2 linked regions of the Cricetulus griseus genome follow. Each later gene encodes a partner of the first gene's protein in a complex. Links are inferred from orthologs where the notes say so. Each region holds a gene or a part of one and is shown on either strand. Other genes may lie near its edges.

Region 1 (3,824 bases):
CAAGGGGGATGACATCACCATGGTGCTCATCCTGCCCAAGCCTGAGAAGAGCCTGGCCAAGGTGGAACGGGAACTCACCCCAGAGCTGCTGCAGGAGTGGCTGGATGAGCTGACTGAGACGATGCTTGTGGTCCATATGCCCCGTTTCCGCACTGAGGATAGCTTCAGTTTGAAGGAGCAGCTGCAAGACATGGGCCTTGTTGACCTGTTCAACCCTGATAAGGCCCAACTCCCAGGTTGGTACAGGAGAGAACTGCCCCCTCTCTACTCCAGGTAAAGGTTTGACCAAATGTGGGAGAGTCGAGGAACACACAGAAAAGAGTGTCAAGTCAGGATATCTGGATTCTGATCCTGGCTCTGTGATAAGCTGTGGCGATCGATCCCTTGCCCTTCCCAGCCCCCTGTAGAAGGGGGTGTTTGCTCTTGTTTCCAGAAGTCTAGCCAGTACTGTCATCCTATGAATCTGTATCTCATAGAGGAAATAAAACCAGGTGGAGAAGGATTTGAAAAAGCATTGGAATTAAAAGAGACAGACATTAAAACCGAAGCATCCTGGGACATGATTGTAATTCCAACGCTTGGGAGGTGGGGCAGAAGATAGAATTCTAGGCCAGCCTGGACTATTTAAAAGACCTTGTCTGAAAAGCAAAATAAAATAGGGGCTGGAGAGATGGTTTAGCAATTAAGAGCATGGGTCATTATTGCAGAAGATCAGTTTCTAGAATTCAAGGCAGACATCTCACAACCTCCTGTTACTCTAGCTCCAGGGGGTCTGACTCCATAGGTACCAGCACTCATGTACACACACACACACACACACACACACACACACACACACAGAGAGAGAGAGAGAGAGAGAGAGAGAGAAGAGAGAGAGAGAGAGAGATAAGAAAATAAGCTGGCGGTGGTGGCATATGCCTTTAATCCCAGCACTCTGGAGGCAGAGGCAGAGGCAGGGGCAGGGGCAGGGGCAGGGGCAGGGGCAGAGGCAGGTGGATCTCTGTGAGTTCAAGGCCAGACAGGTCTGCAGAGGGAGTTTCAGGACAGGCTCCAAAGCTACAGAGAAACCTGTCTGAAAAAAAAAAAAAAGAGAGAGAGAGAGAGAGAGAAATAAGAAAATAAATCTCGAATAAAATAAAAATGAAATATGATAGCAAATTATATTTACTATAGAACACATTTTCATTTTTTCTGTTTTTGGTTGAGACAGGGCCTTATGTAGTCCAGGTTAGCCTGGAATCCACTGTGCAGCTAAGACTGGCTTTGAACTGATTGTGCGATTGCCACCCTGAGTGCTGGGATTACAGGTGTGTGCCACGTGTCTGGAAGTGTCTTTTACGTATCCATACATTTATTTGTTATGTGTGGTGTGTGTAGGGGATGCACAAGTGCCGCTGTGTGTGGATGTCAGAGGACAACTTTCAGGAGTTCAAAGCCATGTAGATCCCAGGATTAAACTCGGGTTGTCAGGGTTGGTGGCAAGTGACCTTACCTGATGAACAATCTCTTTGGCCCCAGCACACCTATGTCAAAAAGAAGCCCACAGCTGGGCATGGTGGCACACAACTATAATTTCAGCACTCAAGGCTGAGGCAGGGTGACAGCCCAGGCTACACAAAGAGATTCTGGCAAAGAAAGAGTTTGATTGGGTAATGGGATTTATCTTTACTGGGCTACCTTTAAACTAGCTTTGAAAGCCAAACCTCTCAAAAATGTTACCAGACTGGAAAAACATTTCTATCCTTAAGAACAGAGTCCCACCCTTCCACCTTCCCCCAAGAAGCTAACATGAAATTAAATTCACAAGACACAGGCCAAAGAAGCCCAGACACCTCCGTTTTTAAGAGGCATCCATTGAAAGGGTGGAGGTTATAACTAGGGGAGGATCAGGGTTCTTTTTCGAAAACCACCCAGAAGGGTGTCTTCATTCAGGCTGATCTCCTGTGTGGCCTGAAGCCAAATCACAGCATCCCCTTCCCTGTTCTTCCTTCCAGGGATTGTTGCAGAAGGCAGGAATGATCTCTATGTCTCTGATGCGTTCCACAAAGCGTTTCTTGAGGTGAGTCCATCTCCCTCCACCCTCTGTCTTTCCTGCATCTTCTGATGAAGAGTTTCCTGCTATGCTCTGATGGTAGAGACAGCAGCAGGAGAGAGCTGTGGAGAGCCAAGTTTGCAGTATGCCTTCAATCATGTACACATGGAGGAGCTTGAAGCTTCTGCCTTCATGTGGCATTCTCTCCTGCCAGAGAAGCAGAGTTAGAGGGTAGCCTGAGGAAAGGGAGCCAGGAAAGGGAGTTCTGAGGTTTCAGGAATACGGAAAGTATGGGGTAAAAGACTGATATCTAATCTGGACAGAATGGGGAGGGGCATGTGCTTAAGTGAAGGGTGAAGAGCAACTGAACATAAGAAAGGAGGCTACTAATGAGAGTGGGTCACCTTCGTGCCCCCAGGTGTGTTCTAGAACTACTGAGATAGATAGCATTTCAGGAAGCCTTGTTAGGCAGGCACATGTTGACTTTGAGAGATTGATTGACTACACACAATGGTGTGCTGAGATCTGAGACGTCCCAGTGAGGAAAACAGTGGAGTACTGCTCAGTCTGTCTTCCCTCAACTGAGATGAGCACAGAACTGTGTGTTAGAGTAGGGCGTGGCAGCTTGTAGTTTTGATTCTCAGATACTGAGGTGTGGCTCCATAGCATTAGGTAGAGATCTTTACCCTTGGAGACCCAGGAGTGGGGCCTGAGGATCTGCTTCTTTGCACAGATCCACTGGGGATCTTCACATACAATCAGGTTTGAGGCCCAATGGTATAGGCTGTTCTTCCTGGAAGATAGGAGGTCCCAGCCGGCTGGATATTATCTTCACACTACTCAGAAATTTAGTTCTAGAATGAGAATGAAATAGATGTGGGACAACCAAGGGGAAGGGGAAAAAACCATCAACCAACCCCACAAAGCACAGAGATCAAACATGCTTAAGAGTCAAGGAGAGGAGGAGGCAAAGGCAGGGGGATTGCCACAAGTTCCAGGTCAGCCTGGTCTATAAAGAAAGCTAAAAGCCAGCAAGGGGTACGTAGTGAGACTGTTTAAAAGAAACCAGAGTAGGTGGCTGACACAGGAGCATCTTGAATGACAGGCTAGCCTCAGCTCCGGGAAAAGTCAGTAACACAGTAATGTTAGCAATTGACACATGCTTTCTGAAGGCAGCCCTCAGATGTGTCATTCAAATATCGTTTTCTCAGGTTATTACTCCAAGAAAAACATGTCATCCAACTGGAGGATTGTCTTTTTCTAAGCCACAGGTTTTGCGTAGCTGTTTGGAGTATTTATACCTGCGATTTTTTTATTTTAAAGATTTTATTTATTTATTATTTATACAGCATTCTGCTTCCATGTATATCTGCACACCAGATGAGGGCACCAGCTCTTATAACAGATGGTTGTGAGCCACCATGTGGTTGCTGGGAATTGAACTCAGGACCTCTGTAAGAACCGTCAATGCTCTTAACCTCTGAGGCATCTCTTCAGCCGGTTTTTTTTTTTTCCCCCTATGCTTCAAGAGTGAATCTATTTCAATTACAGATCTTGGATCTTGATGCTGAATTTCTCTTAGCAGTTGGTTCAAAACAATCCTCTCTAATAATGTTTAACCACGCTATCAGAATGTGGCTTCTAGTTTGAGAATTACACTTGTGGAATTCTTGCAAGGCTTTGGATGAGCCCAGTGCATTATATCCACTGGATGTAAGATGAGCATGTTTCTGGCGAGGACCATTTGTGTCTAAGTGTATTAGCAGTCTGAGGAGCTGCAGGGTCCGTGTGT
Region 2 (2,979 bases), on another chromosome or scaffold:
CAGTAGCATGAGTGATTACATATCTTTAAGCCTCAGTTTGCTCATTGACAATGGATAGAGTAATATTTCATAATATATTGTGTCTTGAGTTACAAGCATGTATAAACAATACAATTATTAGCCCCCAATAATCACTCACTCAATAAATGTATAAAATTAGGAAGACTGTTAAATCTGGGTGGTAGAAATGTTGGTGTTTATTATATCATTGTGTTTTTTCTGTATTTTTGCAATTTTTCAAAATATAAATCAATACCTACAAAGAGCCAGAGAGCCTGAGCATGGGAAAGGCGGTGAGAGGGCTATAATAACTGGGTTACCCCTCAGGACTTTAGATACAAAGCTAGTGCTTCAGTGTCCAGGACACAGTAGCTATTCAGCAAGTTAAATTCAGACCCACAACAAGTCCTTCAAAAGGACCATCTCTGCCCTGCACACAAAGGGACCAACATCCCCCTCTGTTGTGTTTAGGAACAGGTTTAGCTGAAGGGCTACTTCCAATTTAGGCGAAGGGCATCAGTTCACAAACGCTACTGGGCTCCTGCAAAGAGTTGACTGAATGCTGAGTGTGCCCTCTAGTGTCCACACTTCTCAGTTTTCTCTCTGAAAATGTGGCACAAAAAGGCCTTTGTTTACATGGGAACTGGAACTAAGTCGATTTAGACATTGATTTGGTAAAAAACCATTGATAGTCCCCTTTGATTATGACGTGAATATGGACAAGAGAAAATAGATTAGCCTCTTATCTAATAATGTCCATGTTTAATGCAGCACTCAACACACTTTTGTCCACATTGTCTAAAACTCAAGTACAGCAAAGCAGACTTTTTAGAACAAGGACAGCCTACATTTCTAGCCAGAGAAAGCTGGCTATGATTAGGAGAGATGGAAGAGATGTGTGAGTCCTGCTGGTGACCAGCACATAGGTGACTAATAAACACAGCCCTTGCGGGGGCCTCGGGCCTCGTTTCATAATAATTTAATTTGAAACAACTCCTGAGAGAACAGGTCATTTTTCTCTTTCAAGTGACCGGGAGCAAAGAGATGCCCCCATACAAGACAAGAGACTCAATAGTAATTATTCATCCTTGGGAGTTAGTATTTCCTTCCATACACACTGTATCTCTTTGAAAAGTGTGTGCCAGCACACTCTAGGTAACATGGGAAAAGGAGCTCAAGGACCCACATCACAAAAAAAGCCACTCCTCAGATTTGCCTGGCCTGGAGCACTGTCCCTACCACTCTGTCTCCTTTTGCATTCACTTCAGGATCATTAGAGAAACAGCTGTTCAGTTTGTACTCCAGAAACACTAATTCATCTGTGGAGCTGACACTTTCCAGAAATCCTCCAATTCTGCCAGCACCTAGAAGCCAACTTTACCCACTCCCGAAAATAGCATATGTATTCATTTTTCTCTGCATCAAATATCATATGCAGTGAGATTCTTAATTTTATCCCCACAGGTCATCTTAAATGGTGAAGTTGAGGCATTCTGTGGAGGTGCCATCATTAATGAAAAATGGGTTGTAACTGCTGCCCACTGTCTTAAACCTGGTGATAAAATTGAGGTTGTTGCAGGTAAGTAAACCAAATAGATAATAATTAGCAACAACAGTGTATGATAGACATATCATGTTGTACAGAGGTCCAATAGAATTGTTACTAAATCGGGCTAATGGTCTATGGACCATAATTTCAAATTCTAACTTATTTCACCTTCCAGTCCCCACAATTCTTTTTTAAAACTCATACAACACTCCCAGCAGGGTACAATTCTTTATGCATCAACTTCCCCGCCCCCTACATTAGATCATTGAGACTTGGTTGCTAGTGATCAGTGAACCCAAGCAGAGTGTAGACCCATGGGAAATATGTTTGTGCAAAAAACAATAAACTACAAGATTTGTTTTCAACAGGTGAATATAACATTGATGAAAAGGAAGACACAGAGCAAAGGCGAAATGTGATTCAAACTATCCCTCATCACCACTACAATGCATCTATTAATAAGTACAGTCATGACATTGCCTTATTGGAGCTGGACAGACCTTTAATACTAAACAGCTATGTAACACCTATCTGTGTTGCCAATAGGGAATATACAAACATCTTCCTCAAGTTTGGTTCTGGCTATGTAAGTGGCTGGGGAAAAGTCTTCAACAAAGGGAGACAGGCTTCCATTCTTCAGTACCTCAGAGTTCCACTGGTTGACCGAGCCACATGCCTTCGGTCCACAACATTCACCATCTATAACAACATGTTCTGTGCTGGTTACAGGGAAGGAGGCAAAGATTCTTGTGAAGGAGATAGCGGGGGACCCCATGTTACTGAAGTAGAAGGGACCAGTTTCTTAACTGGCATTATTAGCTGGGGTGAAGAGTGTGCAATAAAAGGCAAATATGGAATATATACTAAGGTTTCCCGGTATGTCAACTGGATTAAGGAAAAAACAAAGTTAATTTAATGAAAAAACCTATTTCTGAAGGCAATTCACTGGGCTGAAAATAGACCACGCCCTGTATCAACTAGTCATTTGGCAACTCTTGTTAAATCTATAGATACTGATTTTTCTCTGTGCAGAGGAGGATCCCATCTAGGATCTATACTATACGAGATCAAGTAGGTTAGCAAATGCAATTACTAGAGAACTGGTTTGATGAGAGAGATTTTACTGTTTCCATGAGTCCAGCCCTTGGTGAAATTAGAAAGGGAAGTTTTCCATGGTGTCCACCATGCTTCTCAACTGTGATGACTTACCCAATTATCCCTCCTTAGAAGCAATCCGTGTTTCAGATCTTCCTTGCCTCTCTCAAATTTATTGGTTTTCTATCCAGAATCTTTAGCCCATTTAAGGCAAAAAGTACACAGGAGCAGCTGCTAGTTTAAAACTCATCAAAAGCTTGACTTCCTCTCTTGTTTTTCTTCTGAATTCTGTATCTTTTCAAAATTCCAATCCCAAAATCAATGTTCCCCTCACT

The links.
Region 2: the proteins of Serpinc1 (region 1) and F9 are in contact, whole or in part, in a crystal structure (PDB 3KCG), measured with the Homo sapiens proteins. The link is inferred for Cricetulus griseus from reciprocal best matches to the Homo sapiens genes SERPINC1 and F9. Residues at the interface, in NP_000479.1 of Homo sapiens: Glu264, Asn265, Arg267, Glu269, Met283, Met284, Tyr285, Glu287, Met347, Val349, His351, Val420, Val421, Ile422, Ala423, Gly424, Arg425, Ser426, Leu427, Asn428, Pro429, Asn430, Arg431; in NP_000124.1 of Homo sapiens: Lys247, Val248, Asp249, Ala250, Phe251, Cys252, His267, Cys268, Glu270, Glu285, Tyr312, Arg358, Phe360, Lys362, Gly363, Arg364, Ser365, Leu367, Lys387, Phe388, Asp405, Ser406, Cys407, Gln408, Gly409, Asp410, Ile429, Ser430, Trp431, Gly432.

The regions. Positions count from the first base shown.
Region 1 is NC_048598.1:31,064,665-31,068,488, reverse strand, and holds part of Serpinc1 (antithrombin-III), read left to right. Parts: coding exon 1-236; intron 237-1,994; coding exon 1,995-2,059; intron 2,060-3,824. UniProt on the Homo sapiens protein: Most important serine protease inhibitor in plasma that regulates the blood coagulation cascade. AT-III inhibits thrombin, matriptase-3/TMPRSS7, as well as factors IXa, Xa and XIa. Its inhibitory activity is greatly enhanced in the presence of heparin.
Region 2 is NC_048604.1:12,691,451-12,694,429, reverse strand, and holds the end of F9 (coagulation factor IX), read left to right. Parts: intron 1-1,464; coding exon 1,465-1,579; intron 1,580-1,917; coding exon 1,918-2,465; downstream 2,466-2,979. UniProt on the Homo sapiens protein: Factor IX is a vitamin K-dependent plasma protein that participates in the intrinsic pathway of blood coagulation by converting factor X to its active form in the presence of Ca(2+) ions, phospholipids, and factor VIIIa.